3 linked regions of the Drosophila melanogaster genome follow. Changing the gene in region 1 together with any one later gene gives a genetic interaction. Each region holds a gene or a part of one and is shown on either strand. Other genes may lie near its edges.

Evidence for each region.
Region 2: of tum (region 1) and pav, changing one enhances a phenotype caused by changing the other (phenotypic enhancement), as found in Drosophila melanogaster (one study listed by BioGRID).
Region 3: of tum (region 1) and Pak, changing one suppresses a phenotype caused by changing the other (phenotypic suppression), as found in Drosophila melanogaster (one study listed by BioGRID).

Annotation. Positions count from the first base shown.
Region 1 is NT_033778.4:13,851,677-13,862,516, reverse strand, and holds tum (tumbleweed), read left to right. Parts: upstream 1-3,827; 5' UTR 3,828-4,031; coding exon 4,032-4,110; intron 4,111-4,173; coding exon 4,174-5,107; intron 5,108-5,176; coding exon 5,177-5,964; intron 5,965-6,019; coding exon 6,020-6,096; 3' UTR 6,097-6,367; downstream 6,368-10,840. Other genes in the region: CG13344 (uncharacterized protein), read right to left, coding at 1-219, 282-350, 413-420; CG16935 (uncharacterized protein), read left to right, coding at 675-888, 1,227-2,086; Uba3 (Ubiquitin-like activating enzyme 3), read right to left, coding at 2,167-3,519; CG6553 (uncharacterized protein), read left to right, coding at 6,765-7,542, 7,599-7,780; Echs1 (Enoyl-CoA hydratase, short chain 1), read left to right, coding at 8,319-8,415, 8,612-9,336, 9,402-9,467; CG30485 (uncharacterized protein), read right to left, coding at 9,699-10,840.
Region 2 is NT_037436.4:4,237,086-4,249,001, forward strand, and holds pav (pavarotti), read left to right. Parts: upstream 1-5,648; 5' UTR 5,649-5,792; coding exon 5,793-5,803; intron 5,804-5,862; coding exon 5,863-6,621; intron 6,622-6,679; coding exon 6,680-7,229; intron 7,230-7,289; coding exon 7,290-7,611; intron 7,612-7,666; coding exon 7,667-8,217; intron 8,218-8,278; coding exon 8,279-8,749; 3' UTR 8,750-9,148; downstream 9,149-11,916. Other genes in the region: Sqor (sulfide quinone oxidoreductase), read left to right, coding at 3,311-3,438, 3,701-3,806, 3,867-4,091, 4,150-4,350, 4,409-4,618, 4,819-5,005, 5,059-5,375; ago (archipelago), read right to left, coding at 10,391-10,502, 10,569-10,740, 10,827-11,037, 11,098-11,323, 11,388-11,569, 11,639-11,916.
Region 3 is NT_033777.3:6,346,709-6,357,482, forward strand, and holds the start of Pak (p21-activated kinase), read left to right. Parts: upstream 1-4,187; 5' UTR 4,188-4,643; intron 4,644-6,414; exon of another isoform or gene 6,415-6,831; intron 6,832-7,379; exon of another isoform or gene 7,380-7,542; intron 7,543-7,729; exon of another isoform or gene 7,730-7,887; intron 7,888-8,205; 5' UTR 8,206-8,312; coding exon 8,313-8,472; intron 8,473-8,557; coding exon 8,558-8,712; intron 8,713-9,724; coding exon 9,725-9,890; intron 9,891-10,041; coding exon 10,042-10,632; intron 10,633-10,774. Other genes in the region: CG18048 (uncharacterized protein), read left to right, coding at 1-810; Hr83 (hormone receptor 83), read left to right, coding at 2,535-3,159, 3,593-3,804.

The sequences.
Region 1 (10,840 bases):
GGAAAACCAATTGACTCCTTGATCTTGGCGTTGCACGCGCTTCGGATTGCCTCCAGGCGGGCATCGTCCAATCCACGCGGACGCAGCAGCTTGAATGTGGGGCTCTCCTCCGGATAGCCAGGTGTTGGATGCACCTGCAGGGTAACGCACACGTACTGCTGCTCCTCCTCCTCACCGGTCAGGGGCAGCACCGTGGTCTCGATCTGCTCCACCTCGCCGCTTCTCGGGAATTGCAATACTCGCTGTAGTATCGAAAACATATATTGTATTGTTTTACTTACCTGGGTGTGCGTTTAATGCAAACATCGTCCATTAGGATGGCTTCCAGCGACTCCACTTCGTCTTGTAAACTGCAAGAGTACGCAATTGTTATGCAACATTAAGCTAGGAATTTTAACATTTGTTTGCTTACGCGTCCATTTTATCACCGGTCAATTCAGTTTTTGAGTATTTTTCGAGGTTTTGTTTAAAAAATCGATTTGAGACACCTGAAATTTGGAGAAAACACGGCGACCGTTTGTCGCTTAGCCAAAAATACCAGCAAATAACATTATAAATCTCTTTGGCGTCATTAAAATTCAAGTTGGCAGCAATGTAGCGACGGTCATACTAACCTGCATAATAATTTTCGTTTTACTCTTTTGATGGTCAAAAATCATAACTACTACTAACAAATGTTGCGCCGAGGCTTTTTATCTCGCATCAACGCAGCCCAATGGAGCCGCCAAATGTCGGTGGTGGCCAAGTCCTTGAAGTACACACAGCACGGCGAACCACAGGAGGTTCTGCAACTGGTGGAGGACAAACTTCCCGATCCCAAGGACAACCAGGTGCTGGTGAAGATTCTGGCAGCTCCCATTAACCCGGCGGACATAAACACCATTCAGGGTATGCTGGCCATTAGGATATATCACAAACAAACATATATTATGCATGATACAACTGAAATATAGCCATAACCGGCATGAACTGCATAATTAATAACGATAATCTTCTGCTGAAACAACTGGATAAGAACTGAAGATCAGAGATACTTGTATTCTAAGTATACCCACTTGCTTGAAAGTCAGTTATGGGATAATCAGAAGTAATCCATTTAAAGTTAAACGAATGTTATCAGTACATCTTTGTACTTTGAACGATGCTCAAGGTTGTGGCTTTAAATTTTAAAGAAGCCTAGCTTGTTTAAAGTCACTTTGATAATGATTATTATAAATCCTTTACAGGTAAATACCCGGTGAAGCCCAAGTTTCCAGCCGTTGGCGGCAATGAGTGTGTGGCGGAGGTCATCTGCGTGGGCGACAAAGTCAAAGGCTTTGAGGCAGGACAGCACGTCATTCCCTTGGCCAGTGGCCTGGGCACCTGGACCACCCATGCCGTCTACAAGGAGGATCAACTATTGATCGTGTCCAAGAAGGTTGGCTTGGCGGAGGCCGCCACCTCGACAGTGAATCCCACCACTGCCTACCGAATGCTAAAGGACTTTGTGCAGCTCTGTCCGGGTGACACGGTCATCCAAAACGGCGCCAATAGCGCCGTCGGCCAGGCAGTGCACCAATTGTGCCGAGCCTGGGGCATCAATAGCGTTGGCATTGTACGCGACCGCCCAGAAATTGCCGAATTGAAGCAGATGCTGCAGTGCCTGGGAGCCACCGAGGTCCTAACAGAGGCCGAAATTCGCACCAGTGACATCTTCAAGTCGGGCAAGTTGAAAAAGCCCCGTCTGGCCTTCAACTGTGTGGGCGGAAAAAGCGCCACGGAGGTGTCGCGTCATCTAGACAATGGCGGAGTGCTGGTCACCTACGGCGGAATGTCCCGCGAACCCGTCACAGTGGCCACTGGACCCCTCATTTTCAAGGACATTGCATTTAGAGGCTTCTGGATGACTCGCTGGTCCAAGGAGAACTACAGTTCACCAGAGCGTTCGAAAATGTTCAAGGAGATCTTCGAGCTGATGGAGCAGGGAAAGTTCGTGGCCCCCAACCATGAGATGGTGCCCTTGGCAAAGTTCAAAGACGCGGCGGCCGCTGCCTTGAGCTTCAAGGGATTCACCGGCAAGAAGTACATACTGGATATGAGCATTTAGATGCGTAACTCGAGGCTAAGCCTGCTGTTTATTTACATATACGACTTGTGTATTAAAATTGTTATCTACTGTGATACACTTTAGACCATCTCCACCTCATTGGACTGATACTTCAGCTGCAGAGTCATGGCGGACGGCGAGGTGGCATCGGTGACTGTGAGCTGCTGTCCATCGTGTAGACCCAGTTCGCCCAGGCTCTGAGTAAGGTTCTTTCGGGTGGCCTCTTCAATGCTCTTTACCCCGGACATGTACAAAGTCCGCCGCTTGCCGTCCTTCATCACAGTGGTCAAGGCTGGGCTTTTCAGCTGGAAACGCGGGGAATCACACAATAGCTTTATCACATCCTCCAGCGTGGTGGTGTTGGGATCCTCAATCGGCAACGGCTGCGGTGTATTGCTGCACGCCAAGCAGTTTTCCGACTTCTCGGCCTCGTAGGTGTAGGTATAGATTCCGTCCAGGTCGTTGAAGTTCAGGTAGTTTGCCATGCTGTCATAGCAGCTGGTGGCCAACTTAAAGACCTCCAAAGCACAGGCGGCGGCAATGGCTGCATTGGTACTGGCCACAGCTGGAATGATGTGCTTGACAACGCCCTGGACCAAGCGATAGGTCACTCCGGTGATGTTAAACTCATTGGACCGCTCCAGTGCCCGTTCGTAGATCCAACCAATGTGCTGGGGATCGTCCCCATCGAGGGGCACTCCAAACGGATTCTGTTTCTCCCACTGTATGATCTTTACGTACTCAATGCAATGCTCCGGAAGCCTGGGAGTATTTGCTATGGTGCATAGGGGATAGTTGACCTGCGGCGGGAACAGGTCCAGCGTGCACTCAATGCAGGCCGTGAAACCGGGCAGGATGACGCGTGCGTTCCCCTTGAAGCCCTCGGTGCCGCCATCAATCATGGGCACTATGGAGCTGGTATCTATGGTGCCGTCCTCCTCATATCGCAGCATTGATAGCAGCATGCCATTGATCCAACGCCGGGCGACAATGGAGTCTAGGCCACAGACAACCAGGTGGAACTGCTGATAGAAGGACTCATCGAAGTCCTGGATTTTCTTGAAATGCGGCGTCACCCGGCAAGTAGGCACTCTTGCGTTGATGAAGCGAGCCGCACACTCCGCCTTGGAGGCGCCAATGTCTGTGCGACGGAACAGAAACTGGCGATTCAGGTTGGACAGCTCGATGGTGTCCATGTCGATGACGTGCAGGTTGCCGAAGCCCATCAGAGCCAGATCCTTCAGCAGTTCGCAGCCCAGGCCACCGGCTCCGATGATCAGAACCTGGCACTTGGTCTGCAAGAACTCCAGGTTTTCCGACGAGGCCGCGAAACCGTCCTTGCAGAAGGGACCTTCGCGTTCCAGGATGTTCCGCAGTCCATTGAAACGCTTGCTCTGGAGGATTAAGCCAGGATTGGGTGAGTGGACAGACATTTTTCAAACAAAATCGAGACTGTGATTCGTTTAGCAACACTACTCGGGTCGGAATAAATATTAGTGATGGTAGCTTATGTGAATAAGAATTTATATAAGACATATTGTAAATAAAAAAAAATATTGTAATTATATTATTATTAATATAATCATTTCAAAAGTATTAATAGGATAACATTAAATTATTTTTTATTTAATTCCGAAAGAATTGTTAACTTGAAACAATCTCTATCATCTCTAACACGATCAGATCGATATTTTCTGTTAGCATGACTACCCTACTGTTATTTCGAGCCACCCATTAATGGTCACACTGCGCAGATGGCGTCAATTTGAAAACAACGGAACTTGAAAAAATTCAGCGCGTCTTTTGCAGCGTGCTCCGTTTGCCACTCGTTTTTGGGTAAATACTACTGATTTTCAGTAGATTTCGAAGTTGAATCAAGGAAACCAGTGTGCAGGCAGTCCCTGCGAGTGAAAACCGATTCGTAGAACTACCGAGACAAGCAAAAATGGCGCTCTCCGCATTGGCGTCCTTCGATGATCTGCGACGCTGCATGCAAGTGCTTACCGATGGAACTCCTGAGGAGGGTGAGTAAAACTGAAAACACGCAAGGCAAATGAAGCCCTACATGATGCTTGTATTCCATTTAGAGTTCCTGCGGTTCTTGCGCATGTTCGAGCAGTACCACGAAAAGTGCGCGGGCTACGCGGCCGAGACGGCCAGGATACAAAACGAGCTGGACAAGTCGTTGACCAAAATGGGCGACCTGGAGGGCAAACTCTTTCACGCACGCCGCATCATCGACATGGAGATCAAGGCGCGCCGCCAGGCGGAACACGAACGAGATGCCATGGAGAGCAAGATCATGGCTGTGGCAGATCTGCTGCGACACGAGCGCAATCTGAACAACGAGACCCGCGACAAGCTGGCCTTTCTGCACACACTGCCCTCGTCGCGAAAGCGCAAGTCCCTGAATGCCGTGCGGGAGGACAAGTCCTATGGCGACATCAACTCCACCGGATCGTTGCTGTCGGATTTGTCTATTACACACTCCGAGGACGACTTCCTCGATGTGCGCACATCAAAATCTTGGCGAGAGCATCGTCCTTCGCTGCCCAAGAACCAGATTCCTAGCGTTGGCAACAAGAGATCGCGATTGAGCACTGGACTGAATGGCAGTATGTCCGGGACTACACCAACCACTGGCAAATCGCGGCGCTCTAGCGTCGGAATCGGAGTGGAGCAACACACGGTGGACGTGGGTCAAGGCGCTGAGCGCTTTTGTGCCACCACCAAGGTCACCATACCCCAGGATGGACAGGGCGTGATTCGTGCAGAGTCGACCATTGAGTCGCTGCCTGTAATTGCCGGCAACGAGAGGATCGGCGACGGACTATCCTCGACGCCACGGCGATCGGTGCTTAAAGAGGCCACCGCACCGCCGCTGACGCCGGTAAATGCTATGGCACCTCACGTTGTCGCTGAATCCGGAACGCCACTGCAGCACCGTCCACTGATGAGGAACCACACCTTCAGTCAGAAGACATTCTTGCGTGGCGACAATTGCGTTCAGTGTCAGAAACGGTAAGCTTACTAGAAGTTCTGCTCCAAGTAGGTTTTTTTTATTAATTAAATACTTTTTATACTCTTCAGCATACGGTTTGGAGCCGTTGGGCTGAGATGTCGGGATTGCCCGGTGCGCTGTCACATCGATTGTCGGTATCTGCTCACCGTTAGCTGTGTGCCGCAAACGGGAACACCGACGACGAAGACCATGACTGGCTATGTAACGGACTTTGCACCATCTATTGCACCCATGATCCCGGCACTGATTGTGCACTGCGTAAATGAGATTGAAGCCCGCGGCCTGACCGAGGTTGGCCTCTATCGATTGTCCTCGTCGGAGCGGGAGTACAAGGCCCTCAAGGAGCAGTTCCTGCGAGGCAAGGCCACTCCACATTTGGGCAACACGGATATCTATGTGCTGTGCTGTTGTGTCAAGGATTTCCTGAGGTCCCTAACAGAGCCTCTCATTCCCACCAGCCAATGGAAGGATTTCGCAAACGCAGTCCAAAATCCTGACACCAAAACTGCCCAGGATATGTTGGTTAAGTCGGTGAAGCAGCTACCACAGGCCAATAGGGATACGCTGGCCTTCCTCATACTGCACTTCCAACGAATTGCCCAGTGCCCAGTCGTGCTAATGCCGATCGATAACATCTCGCTCATCTTTGGCCCCACCATTGTGGGCTACTCCACACCAGATCCCGACCAGCATGCGATCTACACGGAAGTTTTCACCCAGAAGCAGGTGATGAAGGCACTTCTTGAGCTGCCCGTTTCGTTCTGGGAGCAATATATCGTTATAGATCCGACAAGAACACCGGCCACAGTTATCAAGCGGGTGCCAAGCAACAAAAATGACTTACTCTCGCTATATGGTGAGTTATTTATGAGCTAATTTTTTTAATTATTCTAATTATCTCTCCTTCACAGCAACTCCCTTCAAAGGAGGCACCATTAAGAAGCGGAAGTTTTACGGCACACCGCCGGCATCTGCGCACAAGAAATAACGAGACTTTCCTTGTTGGAAAGCATTTGACGTGTTACTTAAGTTTACTTCAAGTATTTTGCAAGTTTTTTGTTTCCGGCCAGCCAACCCCGAGCTGTATTTGTACCCAACCCAACCATAAGCTTTTCTTTATAATTTATGCGTTCGATTATAAACTAAAGCACGTTATTATCGTACTAACATAAGTATACTCACCAGAGAAATAAACTAAAATATGCATTTGAAAAGCAATAAGAACAATGAACAAATATATAAATAAACGATAAAAGAATATAACAAGTTTTTATTCAAGTTCAAATATTTTTGAATCTGTTTAGTGAACTTACTTTTTTATATTCTTGATGGCAAATTATTGGAGGCATGTTAGTAACCAAAAGTATATTAAACATTTCCGGATTTGGATTTGGAAACGGGAATGTTTCGCCACAAAACGTGCATCACAACTAATGGCAAACTCGATACAACTTTGGAATATCCCTTTGATAGGATTATCTAAAAACGTGATAAGCTCGGTCATTGAAAATACTGACTGCCGCTCAGAAAACCCCATGACTGATAATTGTGCACAGCTAGAGCCGTATCATCATCAAACTGGTTTGGACAACTCTCGTAATAATACCCTTAACTGCGCCATGGAACCGTCAGTCTGTCGATTGGAACCCATTTAGAATGTTCGGAGCGCATCAGAATCTCTCAATTCAGCTGGTGATTTTTCTCTCCTTAGCCGTCACCATTTGCTTGGGATCCCAAAATGCCACAAGCTGCGGGCATCGCTGTGGAGGAGGCGACTGTATCCAACTGGACCAGCTGTGCGATGGGAGCGCCAACTGCTTGGATGGTTCCGATGAGACGGTCGCCATGTGTGAGAAGGTCTGGTGTCCGGGTTATGCATTTCGCTGCAGCTACGGTGCGTGCATAGCCAGCACAGCGGTTTGCGATGGCGTCCAGGACTGCGTGGATGGTTCGGATGAGCAGGGTTGGCTGTGCCGGGCGCAGATGCAGCAGGCTAACTGCGACAACTGGGAAATGTACTGCTCCTCTGGCCAATGCATGACCTATTCCAAATTGTGTGATGGCATCCGTGACTGCCGAGATGGAGACGATGAGCTGGAGTCCCTTTGCGAGGGCGTTACCATACCAACGACTACAGTCAGTTCAACGACAAGTACAACTACGGAAAGTAGTATCCATAGGATAACTCCCACTGTTCCTGTAACAAGGAAGGCGTCACGACCAAATCCTCTTCAGGAGAACGGGGAGTGCGTGGTTCCCCAACTGCCAAACGTTATGGTTAAGCACTTCACAGATGCAATCCTCACTGTAGGATCAAGGGTAGCCAATGGCACCCGTATCTACTACGACTGCCCGGCGGAGCACAGACTGAAAGGCGAGAACCAGAACATTTGCCAGGACGCATTGTGGGCTAGGAAGTTTCCTTACTGTGAAAGTAAGTTGTGTATTTATCAAAAGTTTCTTCATTAATACTAATTTATTTACTTTTAGCACCCCAAGCGTATGTTTTCAGCTTGGTTATAGTAATATTCTGCTTCCTAATCGTGGTATTGGTGTTTCTAATTTGGCGGGTGCGTCGAGAAAATGGCTCAAGAAGGCAACGAGAGGAGCACATTTGGCTGGTGGAGACCAGCAGTAATCTTCCCCAGACATCTTCAATACCAAAGGTCTAGGAATTAATTTTTACAAAGCTAAACATGTGATCACGCATACTTACTTATTTACCAGCCAAGTTGTTGATAAAAAGTACTGTTAATTTCAAACTATCTAGGCTTATCTTATGTAAATAATGTTATTTCAAGTTCTCCATAAAAATTAAAAGCTTAAATACGAATGTATATTTATTTTTAGAGTAAAACGTGAGAAGTAGTATTATATTGTAAATATATTAAAACAGATTTAAGAACATAATAATTGTGTTATTAGGTTGCACATTTTAATTTCGGCTGTTAACAATACTTTTGCGTTAACAGCTGTAATGCTAGAACCACTTGTTGCTGCGACCCAAACTGTGACTGAAACAGTGACTGGAAATAGTGGCATTTCTGGTGGGAGCGAACGCGGTCACACCTGCCCCACTAGTGCGCCAATATTGCTCCAGTGCTTCGCAGCGTAAGTATCCCAAGTTCTAGAGTGGCTCCATGCCAGATACCGCCACAGATTAGATAACGAATTGCACTTGCAGCCGGCTCAGAGTTCCTTCAATTGAAAATGGCCAACATTGCTAAGATCTTCGCTAGCCGCGCCCAGTGCGTCCTGCAGGCAGCCGCCCGTCAGCCACAGGTGGCCACCCGTTTCAGCAGCTCCTGTAAGTAGATGGTTGATTGCGAGGGATCAAAGTCCACGCGATTGATGCCCAGCTCCAACCTAAGCCGGAATATCAAGATATCAAGTGCCGCCGGTTTCTTGGCGACATCTTTTGTACTTTTCCAGGCAAATAAACATTGATTGCGTAACATTCGCGCACATACGATCACCTCATTTATGATGCCATCTCTTTTCAGCCACCAACAACAACTGGGAGTACATCAAGACCGAAGTGGCCGGCGAGGGCAAGAACGTAGGCGTGATCACCCTGAACCGCCCCAAGGCCCTGAATGCCCTCTGCAATGGCCTGATGAAGGAGCTGTCCACCGCATTGCAGCAATTCAGCAAGGATAAGACCATCTCCGCCATCGTTTTGACGGGCAGCGAGAAGGCCTTCGCCGCTGGCGCTGATATTAAGGAGATGGTGGGCAACACCTACTCGCAGTGCATCCAGGGCAACTTCTTGAACGACTGGACAGAGGTGGCCCGCACCCAGAAGCCCATCATTGCTGCCGTGAATGGTTACGCCTTGGGCGGTGGCTGTGAGCTGGCCATGATGTGCGACATCATATATGCCGGTGACAAGGCCAAGTTTGGTCAGCCTGAAATTGCCCTGGGCACCATTCCCGGTGCCGGTGGCACCCAGCGTCTGACCCGCGTCGTTGGCAAGTCCAAGGCCATGGAAATGTGCCTCACCGGCAATATGATCGGCGCCCAGGAGGCTGAGAAGCTGGGTCTGGCCAGCAAGGTGGTGCCCGCCGACCAGTTATTGGGCGAGGCCGTCAAGCTGGGCGAGAAGATCGGCACCCACTCCAATCTGATCGTGCAGCTGTGCAAGGAGGCGGTTAACACGGCTTACGAGACCACTCTCCAAGAGGGCCTGAAGTTCGAGCGTCGCACCTTCCATGCCACGTTCTCCACGGTTAGTTCAAGTTTAAATATCTGCTTAACACTATTTAATCTCTTGTATTTTCTTTCATCCAATAGGCCGATCGCAAGGAGGGCATGACCGCTTTCGCCGAGAAGCGCCCTGCCAAGTTTACCAACGAGTAAATACTACCCTAATCAATCCCAGCCAGCTTTGCATTTATATTATCTAAAAGAAAAACTGTTGTTTCTACGCAATTAAAACTTTAATCGTGATAATTTGAAAATGAACAATTTACCATAATTTGTCATTAGTATATGAGGTATGCTAGTCCGCATGTCAGGTGGTAATCCATTAGTATAAACATGGTATGGCCACTTGACAGTCGGCTTGCTAGCCCGATTATCCTCCTATTTCTAATCGAAACAAAATAAGTGCTTAGGTGACTTCCATGGTTGTGTCTTGTTGCTTTCGAGTTTGGAAGGCATGTTTTTTGGAAAATTGTGCGCTGTGTAGCGTTGCCTTCGTGAAGAATATTCAATCTCATGGAAATCTATACCTCCCCGTATCCTTCTCGAGCCATGTGGATTTTTATAGTGCCTGGAGGCATCGGAGTCATCGCAACAACGAGCTAAATGTCGATAATTTCGTGACCGTGAGTAGTTCTTATCCCTGTGCATGGGACAATGTTCTGTAAATCGGAAACGATTCCCCTTTGGTTCAATCACACAGGGATCACTTAGTTCGGTGGTAAACTCGTAGTTTCGATATGTAACCAATCCTCGACGTATGCCCGGATTTTGTGACTCAGTTGGCCGTGAGGTGAGCAAGTAATCTGTGCACGGCCTGCATTTCTCTACATGCCTCTTAGCCCGCTTTTTGCGCTCCCGATGTTCCTCCCACTCCCGCTGGGCACGGGATACCAAAGGCTGAGGAACTTGACAGGGAGCTGTCTGGCGTGTATCATTTGAGTGGCAGCTCCAATGACTGCAACTATCCGAGGAACAACTTCTGTTACGTAGTGGGGATTTCTTTGCTTGCGACTTCTGATAATTCCTGCCTCTTGGTGGCCGCCTGGAACAGGATGGTTGCCCAAAGGAGGAGTTGGTACTCCTGTACGTAACGATTTCTGAGCCCGATGTGTGCGTATTTCGTATCGAATTGCCTCTTTTCTTTATAGTTGTAGACCATAACTTGGGATCTCTTGGTCCGCGTATATCCAGGATACTGTCCTGATCCCTGAAGGAGATTTTCCTGTCCAAAGGATTCATTTCGCTGCATATTACACTTTGCTTAACTTTTTGATGCTCCAGATCAGAAGTCTCCCTGAAATTTATAGACCGGGGGCTATGCCTAGGTCTTTCGCTCACCGATTGATTCGACTTAAACTCAATTGCTTTAGATCCTGACCAGAGAAATCGCTTGGCAAATGCATGTAGTCTGGGCAGCAGGCGTGGTTTCTTTGAGAGATGTCCATCTGAATCTGCAGTCAACTTTCTTGAGATAAGTCCCGGCCATCTGGGATTACTTTTGCATGTAGAAAGATTATCTTCCCAGT
Region 2 (11,916 bases), on another chromosome or scaffold:
TTCCAGAGCCCCGGTACCAATTGCACAAAGATCCCGCCACAGACGATGCTGCAATTGATTTTGGTGTGGCGTCAATTGAAATGCACTTCGGAGTCTAGGAGTCTGGGCACGGAGAAAAAATCCAACCAAAATTGGTAATCCGCCTCATTACAATGGGGCTTATATCAGCACAAATAATGCTCTTCAGCTGGACGAGAATAGGCCACCTAATTAGAGTTCTATGGGCCTTTGTTGCTACTTCTTAAACGCCCACTTTTTATGTGGAATATACCACAAAAAACCGGAAAAATATCTAAATACGCACAGTGAAAAAAAAATGTACTCAAAAGTGATGGCTCATCAATGTTTTGCTTGGCAAAAAAAACTCTTATCTGTGCGATTCGTCACTAGGTGGTGATATTTTCAAGGTATTCAAATAATTTAATTAAATTAAGGCCACATATATATTTAAATCTAGAAAGGTCTCTTATCTGCGACAGCAGATGACACATTTTTATAATATATCAGTCTAATATTAAAATATATAGAACAATTCTTTGGTGTAAATATGCATTTCCACTTTCTACTTGTTCAATTTAAAAATTTGTTTTAATTTTAAGATAAAGTATTACGAATAAGTAATGCTTTCTAAAATGTTTCAATTAAATAATCTCACGTATTTGCTGTCTATCTTAAAATCTGATAACTACATTAAACCTATATTCTCAGCCATTTTTTCACTGTGTGGGCCTACGTGCTCCAAGTGGCCTGCCACCGTTATATTCAAATGAAGTGGAGCTCACGCAATCACGGCAACAGACAGCCCGGGGAAAGCCAGCATGATGACCACCAGCTTGGTCATTATCGGTTCGGGAACCACATGATGATGGGACCTTGCCACCGCAGTTGGAAATGGCTGTGAAAATGGTCACCTAGCAACAGCGGCTGCCACGCCCAATTTAAAGCGGCCCCTCGCCCGTTTGAGAGGCAACGAGCACCACCCAGGCACCCAGCCGCCACCCAAGCATCCAAGCATCCAGCCAGCAGGCCAGCCAATCACCCAACCACCCATTGTTTTCTTATAAATATCCGTAGCTATCGCTTGGCCCTCGAATAGCCGCCCACGCAGTCGCGGAGCCAATTTGGCCATCAGTCAATAGGGCTTCATTTGAATTGCCAGCTTGTCTCCAATTGACGATGGGCCACCTCATGGCGGCGGGTCGGGCCCACGCTAGGACCTCGCCAGGACCTGCCCCTCAGCACCCGCCCACGCAGTGGGCTGTGTGTGGCCACATCCAGCCATCCATCTATGTGCCCACACATCCCACATCCGTAAGCCCATCTGCAATCAGTCGGCAGCATGGCGTAATTAAACCCGCCGCTGTCACAGTTGTCGTCTCGTGGCGTTTGACATGTCCGCCTCGCGTTTATTGGCAACATTGTTCACTTAATCATCCCACATTTACCATATTTATTAGCAACATCGATCTATCTGCTCGTATCCGAATGCACGGAATGGGGAGCCGTGGAAAATCCCTGGATCCGAAGGGAAATTGTACTCAACAAGCTTGGTGGAAAGACCCCTAATTTACTATTGTTATTATTTTCATCAGAAATCGAAATTTATATAAATTACATGTTTAATTTTAATTGAAATATCTGGAACCTTTTTCATGATATAATCTTAAAAGAGTTTAATTTAACTTGAATATCTTTATCTATTTCTGAAGTAGCTATAGATTCAAGGTCCCAGAAAAATCCGGGGCATAAAACATTTGCATTATATAACTTTTCGGGTCCGATCATTATATTTTAAGTAAAACCCTTAACGATGAATGACATAGGGATCCTAAAAGACCCTTAGAAAAATCAAACAATACGAAAGTTAAGGGAAGACAAGTTTTTTAAATCTCCTTTTTTAACGAAATACTTTGATTTAAATATGGAATTAAATTGTTATCAACATCTGAAAAATTGCAAAAATCATTTAATTTATATTAGTTGCAATTTTTAAAACTTGATTTAGAGTTTGACGTATATGAGTAGATGACCGCTGCAGTTTATTAATAAGATTTATTGGTGACCTTCATATTCTGATTAGAGTCTGTGCAATCTATTAATTGACCATTTATTTAATGTCCACATATTATAGGAATTGCTTGATAAGACTCGCAAGTAATCAAATCAAATGTGAAAATATTCAATTTTAAATTAAACCAGTTACTTAACCACATGCCTGATTATAAAAATATGCGAGTTTTTCGGCGTTTTTTTTTTTTGTTTATCCTTTAGAAAGCATGCGTATATTTTTACAGTGTAATGGCCAGTTACCAGCAAATGCAACTCAAATTCTTCAAACTCGATAAGGTTGCCCCTGGAGGTATACCATAAATATAAACCGATGCACTAAGAAGGCAAATAAAACGCTTGTTAGCCCCGATAAGCAGGCAAATAAATGATACTTTGTTAGCGCTGAGGAGCCGTATTTAAGGGCATGATCTCATGGGTCGCTTATCGCCGGGTTCCACTGTAGACACAAAGCAAGTGGTCCGAGCACACGCGCCACCTACAGATTGTTTTATTTATTGAGCCCCGATAAGCACACAATTCTTTGCTGTTCTCAGAATTAAGTCCTCGTATTTTAAGGCATGATGTCATGTGTTGTCTGTAGGCAAAATCCACTGTAGATAGTATTTAAGTGCTTCGAGCATTCGCGCACTTTAGAGCTTTGGATTATTTAGCACCAAATGAGCTTTAAACAGCTGAGTACAAAAGCATGCTGAAAAGCTTTTGCCATCTTTCAAGGTTAAGCTATGAATACACCCATCCGAAAACTACAGTGCAACCTGTTGCGTTTTCCCCATTTTTATTACCACATAAAAACTGGTTTTCAGCCACGTACACTCTGATTTTTATGGCCGACGGGCGAAATTAAGAAATACCACATTTTTAGAAGCCTGACACTTTTTCCAAATTAGTACGCTTAAAACAATTCTAACAATTTCTAATGTGTTATTTACTTGTGTTCAAAATCAGTTGTTATGTTCGATTTCACTGACAAATTTTCCCACACTCGTTTTGTTTTCCTTGATAGCCGGTCGAAATGTTGGGAAGCACTACACAGTGCCGCCTAAGCATCTTCGGCATTTTTTAAATTTCTAAAGTTTTTTCTAAATTTGAAATAGACCAAACTTTTTGCCAGTGCAGCCGGTTTGATAACCCCCCATTGAAAGCTCTTTTTTGCCAGTCTTCAATCGGTTGTGGGCACTTGCAGTCCGTTTTGTTTTTCTTTAACGCAGATTGAGGGATCGAAGATCATCCAGCTGTTGCGATGAACCGTCGCCTTCCAGGAACCATCAGCCAGTGCCAGAAGCTTCTCCTAGCCACCCACAACCATGCTCCAACGGCCTTCTCCACCAGATTCCTGTCCACATCTCGAGTGAACCGCGAGCGGCAAGAGTAAGTTTGTTTATATAGCTGCGAAAGTTTATGACATTTTCCGCGAAACAAATGGCATGGCAAATCTATATCTATATCTACCAAAACAAATTGAATTAGTATGTTTAGGCTAGTAACTAATTAATGGCGATAACGAAGAGATAACTTGTTGGCCATGGTTAGATGGCACTGATGGTGGGTGTGGTCATGCGACTGTACTAATCTCCCTTGAGGTGTCTGTCATTGTATATTCCAGCAATTAAGTAAATCCTATTTTTTCCAGATGCCAAGTGCTGGTTGTGGGCGGTGGCACCGGTGGGTGTGCCATGGCCGCCAAGTTGTCCTCACGTTTGGGCAGCGACAAGGTGGTCGTCCTGGAACCGGAAGATGTGAGTAAGCCCAAAGGCAGTAAATAATCCATTATGACATAGCGCGATAATTCCCCATAGAAACATTACTACCAACCCATGTTCACCCTAATAGGAGGTGGTATGAAGAGATTGGATCAGAGCCACCGCCAAATGGCCGATGTGCTGCCCACAAAGGCCAAATGGGTGAAGGAGAAGGCGCTGGAGTTCGATCCGGATAATAATACGGTTAGCACTTCTGGTGGCAAGACCATCAAGTACGACTTCCTGATCATCGCCACCGGACTGCAGCTCAATTATGGAAAGGTACGTAGGGTATCAGTACGTTTAATAGTTGCTAATATCCATATCCACATATCCATAGATACCTGGCCTGGTGGAGGCCCTGGAGACCCCCGACAGTAATGTTTGCTCCATCTACTCGCCCAAGTACGTGGATCATGTGTACGAATGTCTGCGCAGGACCAACAAAGGAAATGCTATATTCACGTTTCCCAATTGTCCCATTAAGTGTGCAGGTGCACCGCAGAAAATCGCCTATATATCTGAGCACTACTTTAGGAAGGTGTGCATCATTTAGATAGAATATCTGGCAAACAACTTCAATTTGAAACCCTTTTCAGATGGGTCGTCGCGACAACGTCAATATCATCTACAATACATCGCTTCCCGTGATTTTTGGTGTTAAGCATTACGCAGAGGCCCTGATGAAACTGATCAAGAGGAGAAATATCACGCTTAATGTTCAAAGAAATCTCGTTGAAGTGAGACATAAAGATAATATAGCCGTGTTCGAGGATCTCGCCAAACCAGGAGTTCACTATGAGGAAACGGTAAGTGCTGGTCAATTAATTGGGTATTCTAGATACTATATAGATCTAGATCTAGATCCTAGAACTATATCTTTCTACTTAAAGCGAGAAATATGAAGAGTAGGTTAACTAAGATCAATTTTAAAGTCGTATAGTATTGCAGAAATAGGAGAATTGAAGGCCATGAAATTAAACTTATATAAGTATTATATCTTTCTCAGTACTCCATGCTTCATGTGACTCCGCCGATGAGCACTCCGGATGTGGTGGCCAACTGCAAGAAACTGGTAACCCCCACTGGCTTTGTGGACGTCGACCAGTTGACGCTGCAGCACAACAAGTACAGCAACGTGTTCGCCATCGGCGATTCGGCGTCCAGTCCCAACTCGAAGACGGCCGCGGCGGCAGGTAAATGGGTTGGGAATCCTGATCAGAATATTCAATTGATTTTTCACCTCCAGCCGCCCAATCACCGGTTGTGTTCAAAAACGTAATGGCGGCGATCGAGGGCAAAGCCCCAACGGATATCTACGATGGATACTCGTCCTGCCCCATCGTCACCGGCTACAGCTCCTGCATCCTGGCTGAGTTTGATTACAACCTCACCCCCGTGGAGACCTTTCCATTGGACCAGTCCAAGGAGAGGTACTCCATGTTCTTTATGAAGAAGGAGCTGATGCCGGTGCTCTACTGGAAGCTGATGATGAACGGCTACTGGAACGGACCGGCACTAATGCGGAAAATTTTCTCAGTGCTAAAGTTTAATAAAAAGCAATAGGGACCTCAAATGATCTTTAATTAATTTTAAAAGAATATTTGGCATCATCATAACCATTCCATACCTTAATATCATACTAATTTATAAACATTGTACTTTTAATTTGGTATGTGAGATCATAAATAAAAGTATTAAATTAGTTTAAAATCTAGTATATCTAAATATTTTAACCTATTCAAATGGCACGCACTGTACATAGCCTCGGTTTCAGTATGTATCAAGTATATATTGGAGCAGGGGATGGTATTTGCAGCATTAACCGCTTTCTAAAGTTCGGTCACTCTAAAACCAAGCGTGGCGTCGCTTGGCGCTGTAAATTTGAAGGTAACGAACTAAAAGAGAGATCGATTCCAGCAACAAAACAAGAAGAAACCCAACTCCCGTATATCAAATTAGTTGCAAAAACGAGCTGACAACATGAAGGCAGTGTAAGTGATATGACAGTTCCCGAAAGAACAACTCCATCAATGAGAATACCCATTTGCAGACCCAGGACGCCGATGCGTGTCGTCCCGAAAACTCCGCGGGTGCATCAAACGGTGGAGAAACAGCGACGAGACACCTCCGACAAGGCCAGGGATCCAGTGAATGTGTTCTGTCGAGTGCGGCCACTACAATCCGACGCAGATCTCACCTCCCTAAGGGTCAAGAACTCCACGACGATCGCACTGAATCCGCAGGATCAGCTGCTGCAGCATCACAAGCCACACAACGGCGCCCAGCGCGAGGTTCAGTACATATTCAAGCACGTTTTCCAGCCGGATGCCACGCAGCAGGATGTGTACGCAGCTGTGGCCCAGCCGTTGGTGGAGAACCTACTGAAAGGCCGAAACAGTCTGCTTTTCACCTACGGCGTGACTGGAAGTGGAAAAACGTACACCATGACCGGCAACCTGCGACACCGCGGCATCATGCCGCGCTGCCTGGACGTGCTCTTTCGCACCATTTCAGATTACCAGGCCAAGAAGTTCGTCTTCAAGCCGGACAAGCTTAATGGCTTCGAGATCCTGTCCGAAGAGGATGCGCTTTTGGAGCGCCAACACGAGATGAACCAGCGTTTTGCTGGCTCAGGACGATTTGCCTTCAGGCACAAGGACTCGGATCCGGAAATTGCATCCCAGGCCTCCGTGGAGCCAATTCCGCTGCTGGGTTTGGATGAGGACAACATGTACTCGGTGTTTGTCACCTATATTGAAATTTACAATAACAGCGTCTACGACCTCCTTGAGGACTCGGGTATACAGAAGTAAGTATTTATTAAGCATTACATTTAAAGAAATCTAACTGTATTCTTGACCCGACAGGACTTTGCAGAGCAAAATCATTCGTGAAGATGCCAATCGACACATGTTCGTCCACGGCGTCACAGAGGTGGAGGTCAAGACCGTGGAGGACGCCCTCGAGGTCTTTCAAATGGGCCAGAAGCGCAAACGAATGGGACACACTGTTCTCAATGCAGAATCCAGTAGGAGTCACTCGGTGTTCAATATACGCTTGGTGCAGGCGCCCACTGATAGCCAGGGTGAGAATGTGGTTCAGGACCGGCAAAACATCACAGTGAGTCAACTGTCCCTGGTGGATCTGGCGGGCAGTGAGCGATCCTCAAGGACCAAGAACACCGGTGTGCGACTCCGTGAGGCGGGCAACATCAATAATTCGCTGATGACGCTGCGCACTTGCCTGGAATATCTGCGCGAGAACCAACTCGCGGCTAGCAATGGATTGGCACCCAAGAAGGTCCCCTATCGAGACTCCAAGATCACACACATGTTTAAAAACTACTTCGATGGCGAAGGCCAGGTGTCCATGATTGTGTGCATCAACCCAAGAATTGAGGACTATGATGAGAATATGGTAAACTATTTTTCTGACAACAATGTACTCTGGTCCCTAAAATTTATTTATCCCGTTTAGCAAGTGATGAAGTTCGCCGAGATGACCCAGGAGGTGCAAATTGCTCGGGCGACTCCTATGAAGCAAGATTTGGGTCTGACTCCCGGCCGTCGCAAGGCCAACAAGCTGTTCAAGATTGCCGTTAATAATCTAAACGAGCTGGGCATTCCTGAGGCCAAGGATTTGGAGGTGGACGTGGGTTTGGTGTACAGTTTGGGACCCGATTTTCCCGCCTACGAAATGGACAGTCCCGAGGCACAGATCAAAATCCGCGAGCTAATGCATTATCTGGAGCAGCGCATAGAAAAGCGAAAGAAGCTGCGTGCCAACTTGGACATTAAATGTAAGACGTCACTTTCTTAATCTTAACATTGAAATACTAATTCCACAACTTTCAGGTGACAGCTTCCGGCAGATGCTGATGAACCTTGACCGCGACAATCTTCAGCTGCGCACGGAGCTCGCCTCCTTAAAGGCTGTTTACAAGCAGGAGCGCGATCGCAGTGCGGCACTCGAGAAGAAGGTTCGCATCCACGAGAGCTCCATTGACGTGCTTAACAATACGCTAAGCAAGCAAGAACGGCAGATTGAAGAGCTGACTTTCAAGCTGAACGAGAAGGAGAATATGCTCACCCAAAAGGAGCACGAGAAGGAAAAGCAAAAGAAGAAGTTCAGCTCCAAGCTGGCCGTTGAGTCGGACAAAAATAAGCGAGAGTTTGAACTAAAGCTGCGTGAACAGCGAGTGAAATTGCAGGAACGCATGCGCATCAAGGACGAGAAGTTGCGATTGGTCTCCAACATTCTGCAGTCCGAAGATCTGCCCAGTTTGCCGCGGTCACAGAGCTCGGAAAACATACTTAATGAGAAAGATCGCGGTGCATATACGGCGCGCACGGAGGAGTCCTCGGTGCCAGCTACACGAACAGATATATATGCAACGCCACGTCATGTAAGTGTATGATTAATCCTAGAATATTGCAATATCTATTGATAATTTTATATCCCAACAGGGTGCAGCAGCGGCCAACAATCGGCATAGACGCTCTCGATCCGCAGGCGACAAGTGGCTGGAGCATCGGGCAGCTAATCCCGTTCCGCTTGGCACTATTATGCAGCCGTATCTGAAGAATCGCAAATCCGTAACGAAACTAACCGACTTGAAGGAGTTGACTGCTCACGGAACTACGAAGTACTGTCTCGTCTCGCAGGATGCGGATACGGATGGCGATGTGGAGACGAAGCTGTATAAGGGCAATGTAATTCCCACTTGTGGCGGTGGTGCCCAAGTTGTGTTCAACGATGTGGAGTGCCTCAAGCAGAAGTCACCGGTTCACTCGCCCACGCGAAAGCGACCCAGCAATGGCAACATTTCGGCTCTGGGCGGCGGTGCAGTGCCCAGCACGGTCACCTCAGCCCAGGACGTAGCCTCCCGCTGCAATCTCGGCATTGAGGGACACAGCAGCAAGAAGTCGAAAATCTAAAAATGACTCAGCGTGGAATTCTCAAAGTCAATTACCCATTTAGTTCATAGTTACTTAGTTTCCATAACTTAAATTTAAGTTTATTACTCACCCACTTCGGTTTTTGGAGTTGAATCGCATTGAAGTGATTTGTTTGATTAAAGAAAAGTTAATCTGTATAAATAATCCCGTAAATGAATTCGCAACCCCTCGCAAATGGAAATGTTTCCTGCTCCAAATAGTCGGTACCCGGAGGGTATCTGCCAAGAGCAGTTGTTAGAAACTATCCAAGCATCGTCCAATCATAGAACTACTCTAGTGTTATTATAAAGTATTAAATATTTTATTGTTTTTCGGAGTGAACCCAACTCCAGTCCAGTCACAAAATGAACAAATAAAGTGAATTACGCGCATATACTGAAAGTGATCAATTTGGTTTTTATCAATTTTAGATTTTCTGGCTGCAAAGCTCCCAGAGTTCCGTGAAGCAATAACATGTGGCACATAGATGGTTTTAACTATTTTTATTATTATTCCTGCGTTTATTCAGATTTATGCTTAAACCGATAAATTTTATTGAAATACATACGGTACCATTACACATACATATTTGTAGATTAATTTCAATTACTAATAAATCAGTCTATAATTAAAATATATGTTCGCTTAATGATTTCACGTGTGTGAGTGTTGTTGTGTTGCAGTGTTCATGTTGCAGTTGCTGTTTCGTGGGTGTGAGTTGCTGCTCGATGAGTTCGGCAGATGACTCTTAAACGCTATGTGCGGCAAATGTGGCAGGTTCCTGGCAAATGAGGAATTTCGAATTTGGAATTGGAAGCCAATATCGCTAATGCTACTGCACGACAAATGAATCAAATCAAATGTAAAAGGGAAACAATCAGAACGTGATAATAGAATTTAGGTACATACCCGTTCAAGTACAATTAAACAAAACAAGTTGGACGAGACGAAACAAAACCACAAATGTAAACATAATAGGCGGCAAACTCAACTCAAGTGGTGGGCCAATATTAACATATCCATCTTATCCAAATTTCATTTAAACAAATTACAATTTAATCAATATAAAGCTCTGTTCTCATAAACGCTCTCTCAGGTTCACACGACGCGAAACAATTATTTGCATCTGCAGTTGTAAATCTGCGCTTTATAATACGTAATCATAATCATAATATTATCATTAAGGTAATCGATTCTTGCCATATACACAATAGCAATAAAAACTAAGAAGCGAAATTATTCTACGGTGGAAAACGAATTTTGGCTATGAAGCAACGTAATTTAAAAGGGTATTATTAACAATATACACTCACAGCCACAGCCACACCCCGACCACCCGACTACCCTACTCTTCTTTCCCTTAATTGTTTAATGTTTTTTGTGTGTGTGTTACGGTGTGTGTGGTGTTAATGGTGTGTGTGGTGTATGTGAGCAGTTGCGTTTTGTTGGCAAGGCATTCAACATTACGTTGCGGACCCTCACATCCGCGGCATCTGTCTGTGTGTGCTTTTCTGTGTTTGGATGAGTTTGCAATGAAATCTCGCTTGAAGCTGTATACTAGCTGCCCCGTCCCTGACCGTTCACCGCCTGAATCCAAGCGAGACGGCGGCGTAGGCTCCACCGGAAGTGCCCCACCGTCTCCTATGAGCACTTCACACATGCACCCTCAACATCAAAGTCGAGGACCATTAGCTTTGTTTCCTCCGTTCCGTTGCGGGAACCGACGGCACAAATGAGTTTAGTGTCGTTTGCTCTGAAAAGTTTTTAGATATAGTTAATTACATTTATAATGAGCGGATTTATATCGTCTTGGACTTACCTAATCCGCCACACAACGCCGCCGGATCCACCAGAGTCCAGAGCCACAAGATTACGTATAAAGTCGCCCGTCTTAACGTCCCACAATTTCACGGTGCCATCGTCGGAACTGGTCACCACAAATCGGGAGTTAAATTGCAGGCAGGTGACCGCAGAATGATGCTTATTTGGACCTAAAGGGGATTTAAGGAGTACCAGATTAGTAGTGGATCTTTTACAGCATGTTAGTGAAAAGTAAACACGGAGGATTCAAACTTACCCGACAGCGTTTGCAGACATTGTCCGGTTGTGATGTCCCACACCTTGACTGTCGAGTCGGCGTTGCCCGAGACAAGAATGTTTTGACGCAGTTCCATGCCAGAGGTCAAACTCTGATGACCCATCAGGGTGTGCTTGCAATTGCCCGTCTCCACGTCCCACACGCGAATAGAGGTGTCCAATGAACCCGATACCACATGCAGGCCATCAAACTGTGTGAAATTTAGAATGGTTTACGGCAAAGTCCGACAAAGAAGTGTTGACTATCTTACCTGCAGCGAGTAGACGCGATTTGTGTGGCCCTGCAGTGTGTGCAGGCACTCCTGGCGCTCCGGATGCCAGATCTTCACCATATAATCATACGCTCCGGACACAATCAGCTTCCCATCGTACTGCACACAACGCACAGCAGCCAAGTGACCAACCAAAACGTGCAGACAGGAGCCTTGTTCAATGTCCCAAACCCTCAAGGTTGCGTCTCGCGAGCCACTGACCACTCTGTTGAGAAATTCGTCAACAATCAGCATTGGTTAGTGGATAGTTGTGTGTGGTTTTAACTTACTTGCTGCCATGCAAATGCATACACCGCACAGTGGACGTATGCCCCTGAAGTGTGTGCACACATGCGCCGCTGTCCATGTCCCAGACTTTGAGCGTGCGATCCGTGCTGCCTGAAATGATGATATTTCCGGACATTTGGGAAGACCAAACACCACCGGTGTGACCAACCAAAGTGCGCAGGCACTACAGTTGTTGAGAAAGATATCTCGTTAGCAGGGAAACATTAAATGATTGCTTGTTCGATTTACTCACCTTTCCGTTCACCGCTGACCATACTTTAAGTGTATTGTCATCGGAGCCGGACACAATGCGATTGCCAGAGAACTGCAGGCACGTAATCACATGATCGTCGTGGCCCTTGAGTACCTTGGGCTTGCGCACAGGTCGCGACCGCCAGTTCATTTCGATGATGTGCTGACGCATGTAGGCGGCCTTCCAGGGCGAAGCAATTGGCGGCATGTTGCCATCGCGTCCCCGTTTCGGGCGATCACTACGCGGCTCGGCGAGGATCTGGGCTTTGCGGCACTTCT
Region 3 (10,774 bases), on another chromosome or scaffold:
GACTACGGCCAGGAAACGCTACGCCAGCTCACCCAGACCACTAGCTTGCTGGGCATCCTGGAACACGATCACCAGTTGATGGATCACACGAGCTATATAGAATTCGGAGCCGGAAAGGGACAATTGGCCTACTTTTTGGCCACCGTATTGCAGGAACAGAAGTTGAGTCACTCACAGGTGGTCCTCATCGATCGAATGTCCCTGCGGCACAAGAAGGACAACAAGTTGGCCAACAGGGAGGTGGTGCAACGTATCCGTGCTGATATCGCTGATCTTAAGCTTTCTGCTCTGCCGGAGCTAAAGAAAACCCAACGAACGGTGGCTTTTTCGAAGCACCTCTGTGGAGCAGCTACAGACTTGACCCTGAGATGTATACTCGGTGATGGAAATGCCAGCTCGGACTACGTTCTCATCGCCCTGTGTTGTCATCATCGCTGCTCCTGGCGCTCCTACGTGGGACGCAAGTTTCTTCAGGAAGCTGGAATTGGACCACGGGAGTTCGTTATCCTAACCAAAATGGTCAGTTGGGCAGTTTGTGGCACGGGCTTAAGCCGAGAGCGGCGTAAGGCCATGGAATCGGCTGACTTTCAGCTCACCGAGACGAACACGCAGCGTCTAACTCGCCAGGAGCGCGAACAAATTGGCCAACAGTGCAAGCGGGTTCTGGATTATGGACGACTGGAGCATCTACGATCCCACGGATATCAAGCAGAACTTAAGTTCTATGTTCCCAGGGATGTGACTTTGGAAAACGTGGTTCTGCTGGCCAGACCGACCAGCCCTAAGCTGGACCAAAATAAATGCTGTTGACTTAAGTAAAATGACTTTTCTCCTTCCTTAATTCATATCCTGCTCCTGGATTTAAATTTTTCATTATTTACTAAAAACTAGTGACGATCGCACCATCGCCATAAAAATGTTCTGATGTCATCTTTTGTGACGAAAAATATTTAACTAGGAAAATGCAATGTCATATTTTTATTTCGCTTTATTAAAATATTTATTAGCTAGGAAGACATTTTTATTGAAGCGGTCCGCATAGGTAATTTTTTTTAGTTGTAGAATTAATGTTTTTTATATCGAGCTATTTTGCACAATTTAAATGGTGTCATTACCATAAAATGTTCATGCAAAATTTATATATTGTTACAAAAAAGAGTTACGGAAATGTTGACAAATGACATAGCTTATTTTGAACTTATCTTTTACTATTTATTACATTTAAATTTACCAACATGAACAATATTTTGGAGAATCGGATTATTAGAAACCTATTTGAATTTAACTAAGCGTTTGTTAAATAGTCCCATATCCTTAAAGACTTTGATGTTCTTCAACATCATTGGAATGACCCTAATTTAATCTTTCATTTACTGATGGACTAAATCGAATATAGACTAGATTAGTAAAAAATGCCCAATGTCCTGTCATCCGAGCAACCTCTCTTTTTATGGGCTTGCTTTTAAGAAGATTTTTAGACCAACGTGAGCTAGTAACTGGCTAGGAATGAACCTATTGAAAGGAGTATGGAAGGAATTAGTCACTGACACTGACTAATACAAGTACTTGCATTACAGTACTTTCCAGGCCTGAAATGGTTGGCTAAGGCAAGTTTGAGATCATTCGATTGACTAATGCAATCTTCCACCCGCTCCCAATTGTTTATCAGTGTATATCACCGACGAAGAGATCTAAGCCGTTCTATGACTGAACTCATTATTTAATATATCCCTCTGTTTAAGATGTGATTCGCCTATTAACCTAGAATTAGGTAAAAGTTGCGACTTAAAACAAACGTCTAATTAAACAGTTCGAGAATTTCCGGAATAAGAACTTCTCTAAGCCCAACCCCCAAAGAACGTCTTCGCTGTTTGCCCGAAATGTCAGGACAAAAGGACCTCAACGCGGACACCTCGAGTGGCGAGCGCACGTCCAATCACAGAGCAAAACAATAATTGTTTACAAATTGTTAACACGGTCCGCAATAGTAGTAGATGATTGTCACTTTTGACGCGCCACGCCCCCTGCCAGGGGCGTCTCGGGCAAATAAAAATCCTCAAATCACGCTTTGGCACAAGGCCCTACTACACTGGGAGAAATCTATATCAAATTTTTTTGGATTTATATCTTAACTTGACTACGACTAAATATTTAAATACGAGATTGATATATAACAAAAACTTATCGTATACCGATACTGTTTAATTTTTATCAAACTATATATATTTCTTACACAAATATCTTAATTATTTTAAAAGGTTTCTGGTGCTTGCATTCTAGTTTTGAAAGTCCTAAGTTTGAATAAAATATATTTTAGTGATATTTCGCTTTTAGGAATTTGTTCTTTGGATCCCATTGAAATACAATTTCCATCTCTAGTTAGGAAACATATTTTTGCTCTGTGTAACTGGTTTGCATATCATTTGCGGGTGTAGCACATCCAGGTGGCATATAAAACCGCCAATATCCGGGATGAGCTGATTCAGTCCGCGGCGACTCTTTGGCTCATTGGCAAGCAGTGCCAACCGGTGACCATGTCGAACTTCAGTGCCTGCGCAGTGTGCGGCGATCAGAGCTCCGGGAAGCACTACGGCGTGTCCTGCTGCGATGGGTGCTCCTGCTTTTTCAAGCGGAGCGTGCGGCGCGGGAGCAGCTACGCCTGCATCGCTCTGGTCGGGAACTGTGTGGTGGACAAGGCGCGGCGGAACTGGTGTCCCTCCTGCCGCTTCCAGCGATGCCTGGCCGTGGGAATGAACGCTGCTGCGGTTCAGGAGGAGCGCGGTCCGCGCAACCAGCAGGTGGCTCTCTACCGCACTGGCCGGAGACAAGCTCCGCCATCTCAGGCGGCGCCATCCCCGACGCCCCACTCCCAGGCGCTGCACTTCCAGATCCTCGCCCAGATCCTTGTCACGTGCCTGCGCCAGGCGAAGGCCAACGAGCAGTTCGCTCTGTTGGATCGCTGCCAACAAGACGCCATCTTTCAGGTGGTGTGGAGCGAGATCTTCGTCCTGCGAGCGTCCCACTGGTCTCTGGACATCAGCGCCATGATCGACGGCTGCGGCGATGAGCAGCTCAAACGGCTCATTTGCGAGGCCCACCAGCTAAGGGCCGACGTCCTGGAACTCAACTTTATGGAGTCCCTAATCCTGTGCAGAAAAGGTAAAGCTCCGCCTGTGCGGTAAAAAGGCTTGTTAGGATTTAAAAATAAAAGCGGTTTGAAGCCATCTAACCAATTTTCAATGTTTTTACACATATTGACGTGATTTCTTAGACGAAAATTTAAATCCTATGTACGCTATGTATAGATTTTGCTATTTGATTCTGCATGAAAGAGTACACCCAAGCAGTTTTCTTAACCCCAGAAAAAACGTTTCCGTTTTGGGCTTAATAAATTCAAAAGAAAATTTTCCAGCATGTGCAGTTGGTTTGTTTGAACCAACCATAAAATTTGATTAGATTCAAGATTAGAGACAGATTTAAGACCTTTTACATCGTTTTAATTTAATTAAGAGTTTAATAGGAAGTCAAACCACCATTAGTATATCCCATTTTAATACTTTTAATTGCTTATATCGATTGCATGTTTTTACAGAATTGGCCATCAATGCGGAGTATGCCGTTATCCTGGGAAGCCACTCTAAAGCCGCCCTGATCTCCTTAGCCCGCTACACCCTGCAGCAATCCAACTACCTGCGGTTCGGACAACTGCTCCTTGGTCTGAGGCAGCTGTGCCTGAGGCGCTTCGACTGCGCGCTTTCTTGTATGTTTCGCAGCGTGGTCAGGGACATCTTAAAAACACTTTAGGCTCATATCTATCTTCATCTTTCAAAATTAAAGAAAAACCTAGTCTTAAAGAGGGTACTAGATAATGGCTGTTTTTCTGTTCGCCAGTTCAAACATCTAAAGTAACTTCGCTATCTGAAGTTTCAACCCATATCTAAAAATGCATTCATTTCTGTCAACAATCGTTCATGGAGGCATTTAGACACGCCCCAAACTTTATTGGCACTATGCAATTTGTTGGAAATAAAAATATTTGGAACAAAGAGATTATTATGAACTCAAAATTTGATGTGGTATTTTTTGAAAAACACTTTTTCAAAGGTCGCCAATCACAATACAAAAAACTCATCGATATGTTGTGAAAAGTCACGGAGCGAATATATTCGTTTCTGTTCGCTATCGATATATTGATATATTTTTGCCATCGCTACATTGTCTGCTGCGGCCGTCTTGTCGTCTTTCTGTAATTATTTTTCGTAGTTAACAAACCCCTGAATAATGTAAACCAATTAGTGGGTGATGCAAGGACCGAAAATGCGCGCGCGTTGCTAAAGAAGCTAGAAAGCGAGAAAGTTTGCGGAGCGCCATAAGATTGCTGCGCTTTAACTGCTGCTGGTGCCTCTCGTCCGTCGGCCATTTATGACACACACCAGAGAAAACTGGAAAACAATACAGTGTGTGTGCGGTTTGGAGTGTGTGCGAGTGCGGCCAAGTGTTGTGGGCTCGGAAAACTCCAAGAAGCCAGTGGAGAAGTGGTGTCCACGCGAATCCGTGAATCGCAAGCGTTTCTTCTTCGACTGCAAGCGGCGTACAGGGTGCACCGTGCAAAAGAAAGGCAGCCAAGGCATATTGTACTTGCAGTGAGTTCAAGTGGAGAGTGGTGGCCGAGTGGAGCGGGTAGAATGGTCTTGTGGAGAGCGGGGCGAGGGAGTTTCATTCATAAAAAGAGAGTGCACCGTTAGTCCAATTGGTCTGGCTTCCAATGCACAGACAAGCACACACACACCGCCTAAGGAGAGGTTGCACACATTGATTTTTCCAACTCACGTGTGTGTGTGTGCGTGTATGTGGATTAAAGGAAAACGTTTCAAGTGGTTTCCACGCCACATTATTTTGGATTAGCACATTGCTGCTCCCGAATTTCCAGCCCAAAAATAAAGCAACCAAATGTCAACAAGCTGGAATGCCCCAATGCCCCTTCCCCCGCTATTAACACACGTGACACGATACAAGACATTTACATAAAGCTCTAATAACTAACAACATTTCGCAGTCGATTTGGCATTTAACAGTTACCGCTCTAACGGCACATGTCCAGTGCGCCAGTGCACCACCCCCTTCCTTCGTTCAACGAAAAACATATTTGCTTAGCACGGTCACAGGTAAAAGCGGAAGGGACAGGGACGCGCGGAAGCGGTCGCGGTAGGGAACTGAAAAGAGGAATATAAAAGGCATAACATTTCCGCCTGCTGCTTTCGGCTGGCGTCCGCAACCAAAATAGACAACGTCGGAGCGGCTGAGAGTCTCCGTCGCCAGCAGTTATGCGTGGCAACTCGCTAAATATGCACCGACCATAATCATCGTATCATTTTTAATGCTTACATTTTGTATATTGATACTAAGATAACTTACTTAAAGTCTTCGGACAGCAGAAGGTGATCTTCGTCATGTTTTGGCTTCATATTTATACAGCAATCCTCGGAAAAATTGCGTAAAATGAATTCCATGAATAAATTCTTAAGTTTAGTTTTAATAGAAAGTTAACATAAAGCAGTCGTCAAAGTAATCAAGAAGCTTGATCACAAACTTTGGCTCCGCGTAAACGTGGCGAAGAAGTATGCATATGTTTGTGGCTTCTTTCAGCTCTTGGAGCGAGCGCCACGTTTGCGTCGCTGTTGTTGCAACATGCACCTAGGCCTGCGTCACTTTGAATGTCCTACCCTCCTCCCTTCCGCTCCCCTGCGTTTGACAACCCCTGTCGCTAATTTAAATGCCGCAAGTGTTGTCGAGTTTCCTGTGCCTACAATGTGTGTTTTTCTCATTAGGGAATAATTTTGCATGGGCCCCTGCAGAAAGAAAAACATTTTTTATCGATTTTACCTAAAGTTCGACCGTCAATGAAATCAAACACAATGCGGTACATCGTTAACCCAGTTCTGGGCGCCCACACGCTCCCGAAAAGTTTGTTCTTGCTTGATTTAAAAACGAATTTTCACCTATGTGTGTATGTTTGCATGCATATTATATGTACATACATATATACGTTTATAGATCTCTGGGCAAGCAGCCAGTAAACCAACGTATGCCCATAAAGCCTATAGTACAGATATACAGTTGCGGTCAAGAATATATCACACAGCAAGTTTACTACTTTCTATTTGTCGATACTCCTTTACTTTTTATCTTAAATTCAGTATGTATCGACATACATACATATGTAATTGAAATCAACGAGCGTATCTATTGAGTAAACAATCTACTTACATCGGTGAATTTAAAAACAATTAGCAAGAAAACATTGCACTTGATAAATTGGGGTAGAAAGGTAATGTCGGAATGAACCGCATGACACATAATGATTTGGGTATTTTATCCTATGATTCTCTTATATACTTATGTACACATATATGTACATATATTGGTCACTAAGAACCCTTTTTTCTGATGATTCAAAAGTTGGAGTTGATATCTTATTAGATCCCCGCTATGCTATTAAGTTGACCACAGCTGTTGGAACTGTATGTTAATGTTTGTCCAACGTTTTCACACTTCGCCACCCCCTCGTCCCAGACTCTCCGCCTCCCGTTAGCTGCATTGACTCTTGACGCCTGACGATGATAAATGAATCATAAAAGCAGCGCAGTCGACGTCGCCGGCAAAGCAGACAGGCGCCAAAGCCGCCTTGCTCTCCTCGCCACTCTGCGCTCCCACTCCTTTTCGCCCTCTCGCTCATATGTTTGGCTGCGATGCCGCCCACTCGAGTGTGTTTATGTTGTTGCTGTCCTCGCTGCTTAATTTCCTCATTTGTGTTGCTGTAATTCCCAATGCGTGAGCTGCTTTGTTTTTATTATGAGTGCAATCGAAGCCACTCTTGTTATCGCAACGAATTTTTTATGGCTCTCGATCGTTTACGTGGGCGAGAGCGGAGCAACTGAGGTAGAGAGGATACCCTTAAAGTGTGTTGTGTGAGAACAGTGGTTTGCGTCTAATGGAAACTGAAATTAAAATATAGTCCTTTAATGATTATTCCATTTTGGGTCATATTTTTTAACTCCATATGCTCTATAGGTGCTCCAATGAATATTTAAAATAAATGAACTAAAAGTGAATAGATGTGGGTATACAATTATGATCAATGCACACTTAACTTAAATAGGATAATATTTTAAGTTCCTCACATAGATGCGCAATAATTGCTGAATTGAAATGTATAGTCTCAACTAATTTATAAAATTAGCTTCGGAGAGTATACAAAATTCGAATACCCATATCAATCAGCTTTTAAGCAATGTAGGGGAGGCACTCTCGCGAGCTGGGGTGCTCGAGACAATCTCTTGGAGCGATGTATGTTGTTTGTTGCCTTTTGCAGCCTGCTCTAGTGGCAGTGACACTCGAAGGTGGGAGACACGCTGACGGAACAACTGAGCAGCGGGCCCACAGTCCGAATTAGTTCGCCGGACGGCCTATATTGATAAATTTATAACTGCGGCTATATGTCTCCTCTCCTGCTGCAGCCAACCAGTGTGTGTGTGTGTGTGTGTAGGTGTTGTGTTTTTGAACATATTCAAAAAGCAAAACAAAGTGCTTTCCGCGTGCCAAAAAATCTAGAGCACACAGTATTGACGTGATCTTCATGAAGATCGGTAAAAAAAAAATAATAATCAAAAGCCAAAAATGAATAACTTTGTGCAGAATGGTGTGAAACACACAACGCCAAAGTGTTCGAGAAAAATATATGCAAACAATCTATCTCTTGTAGTTGTATGACAAATTTGTGATTTTGTAGAAGCATATGACGCGATTGCAATACGTTGGGGAAAGAATACAGAACGAAATATATACTAAGATAAGCTGCGGAACACTTTTCGCGATAGATAACAGAAGGTTGGCACCCCTGGAATACTCCAAGCATTAAATCATTTCTGCACTGTTCCCAATTTCGAACTGTGTTGATGAAATCACCAGTTTCTAAATAATTTGCTTTAGAAAACATCTAGCACATATTACATTTAAAATTATATGTTCTTCTTGGAAAAAGCACTTATTTAAAAAATGTATAGTCTTTCTTAGTAATATAAGAATTGAAAATATATCAATGATACAAAATCGTTAAGATAGTTGTCTCATATTTAGTACATTTTAGTTAAGGCGAAATACTTAGTTATGGCCAACATACTGATCCCTTTCTCCCACTCTCGACAGCTGTTTTCTGGGCGTAGAACAGCTGTGCATAACGGGGCGCTAGACGAAGCGGAGGAGGAGGAAGCAGGAGCTAACCAGAAGAGCCAGAAGCACACAAAGACGAATCCATGTCCAGCGAGGAAGACAAACCGCCGGCGCCGCCTGTGCGTCTCACCAGCAACCGGGGCGGCAATGAACGATCGGGAGGAGGAGTGGGCGTCGGTGGCGGAGGACTGGGAGGTGGCGGTATGGGAGATGTACCGCCCGACATGCGTCCGCTGCCCAAGGGTGAGTACATTTCGATTAGTTGAGCACGGCATGTGAAGACCTCTGGTCCGCTTAACAATGTGCTTTTTTCTCTTCTCCCAAAAAGAACCCGACGACTCCGATCGGAAGAAGAAAACGCTGAAGAGCAAGATCAAAGGATCGAAGCCCTCGCACACGGACTCCAAGCCGAACATCTCCTATCCCACGAACTTTGAGCACACGGTCCATGTGGGATTCGATGCTGTCACCGGCGAGTTTACCGTGAGTTTTCTATTATGCTCGTCTATGGACACCTTCAGTCGCGTTTGCCTCGCCATTATGCCTACGGCTTTCTGTCTAAGAATAGCAAGTCGGAAATCTTCGGTTTTCACTGCTTATGTCCTCTATTTGATAAGCTTTTGTACACCAAATTTATATGCAAAAACACAGTCACCAAAGACTTAAAGTTTCGTTTGCAGATTACATATTACATTTTTGGGTGACGATAGTAATTGCATTACAATTTAATGTGTGGAGTTATTATAAACGCCACGATCTTGGACCATAAATTGAGCAATTATTAATATTCCAAATTTTAAATTCGATCCGAGATTGTAATCAAACCGGCGGCCTCGATCAGACCCCAAACACTGAACTGCATTTCGGGTTTCTAAATATTAAATTTAATCAAGTAAATATTGCTCACCAGGTCACCCAAAAATTTGTTAATATATTTTTAATTTGTTTTGGCGCTCACCATATATACATACATATAAAACACTGTACTTCTACATACATTCTGTTGTCTAAATCTATCTCTCGCGATTCTTGCTCTATATCAATTTCTATTATTATTCAAGCTGCCAATGAAAGTAAGTAAACTTCTCGACTAACTTCTCGGAACTTGCCTTCATTAGTTTCTCAATAAGGTCTCATTGTGCTCCTTTGTCTGTAGATTTTGTCGAGTCGGTGTTTGTTTCAAGTTCGATCGATATTACTTATAGTTTTGTTACCCTTTGTTTGTTACTATTGGTTCATTCTTATCTTCGTACTCTTACAAAACTCCTACACTAGACCATACGACATTGCACCAACACAGGCTGCCCGGAATTCGTAGCTGAAAGGCCTCTAGTCGCTGGCTCTTCATCATTCTCCGATCACAATAATTGGCCGTGCATCGATGTACCTAAAAGCCAAAAATATTTTTTTACCCCGCGCCTTCTAGATGTTCTCCCATCGCAGTAAATTGTTCTATTTAATTCCATCTAACAATCTAACCTGTTGCCTTTTTCAGGGCATGCCGGAGGCATGGGCGCGACTCCTGATGAACTCCAACATCAGCAAGCAGGAGCAGAAGAAGAATCCCCAGGCCGTGCTGGATGTGCTCAAGTGGTTCGACAACACTACCAAACAGAGGCCAAGTTCCAAGTACATGACAAATGCCATTACGACGCATTCAGGTTGGTCACTCAGTCAGATTTAAGATCTAGGATTGCAACATAACACAACATATTTTGTTAGTTGATTTGAGATTGCTTTAAGTTCCGCCATATTTAGAAAATTTATGAATATAGCTTATTTGTAATATTGAAACGCTCTCTCCTTTGCCAGGTTCATCGCTCAGCCGCGTCAGCAGCAGCAGTCCGAGCAGCACGCCAACAGACTCGGAGCTGCACGGCTCCAACAGCGGAGGTAACCTGATTGGCGTCCAGTTGGGCAGTATGACTCTGGGTCCCAACGCCAACAACGTGGCCGTTGCTGGGCAAATTCTGGGCAACCACTACCAACAGCAGCAGCAGCACCTCCTTCAGCAGCAGCAGCCACTTTTGCATCAGAACCACAACCAGCATCACATGGGCATAAGTCAATCGCACTCGTACAACTTTGTCGGACACACGGTCTCCTCATCCACATCGCAACATTCATCCGCTAACGAGGACGATATGCTGGGACCACAGCACCCGCAGCAACAGCCGCCACCTCCACCGGTGGCCTCTAGGCCTGAGCGCACGAAATCCATCTACACGCGGCCAATCGAGGATCTACAGCCAGCCATCATCCCAATGCCAGTGGCGCCAGCAACCACGCCTGCAACGCCGCTGCAAAATCATAGGACGCCAGGCGGAATATCAGCACCAGCGGCATCGCCAATGATGCACAACAATGCCACGACGACGCTGGACAAGAATAAAAACAATGCAAGTGAGTGCCGCTCTAGGATATGTGGATCATAGCTAGTTACATCTACCTTACAAAGAGCCATGGCAGCAAGTCATGCGAAAACTATTATCAGCAAAACTCTAGATCGACAAGTACAATTCTGAATCCAGTTATTAAAAATTCT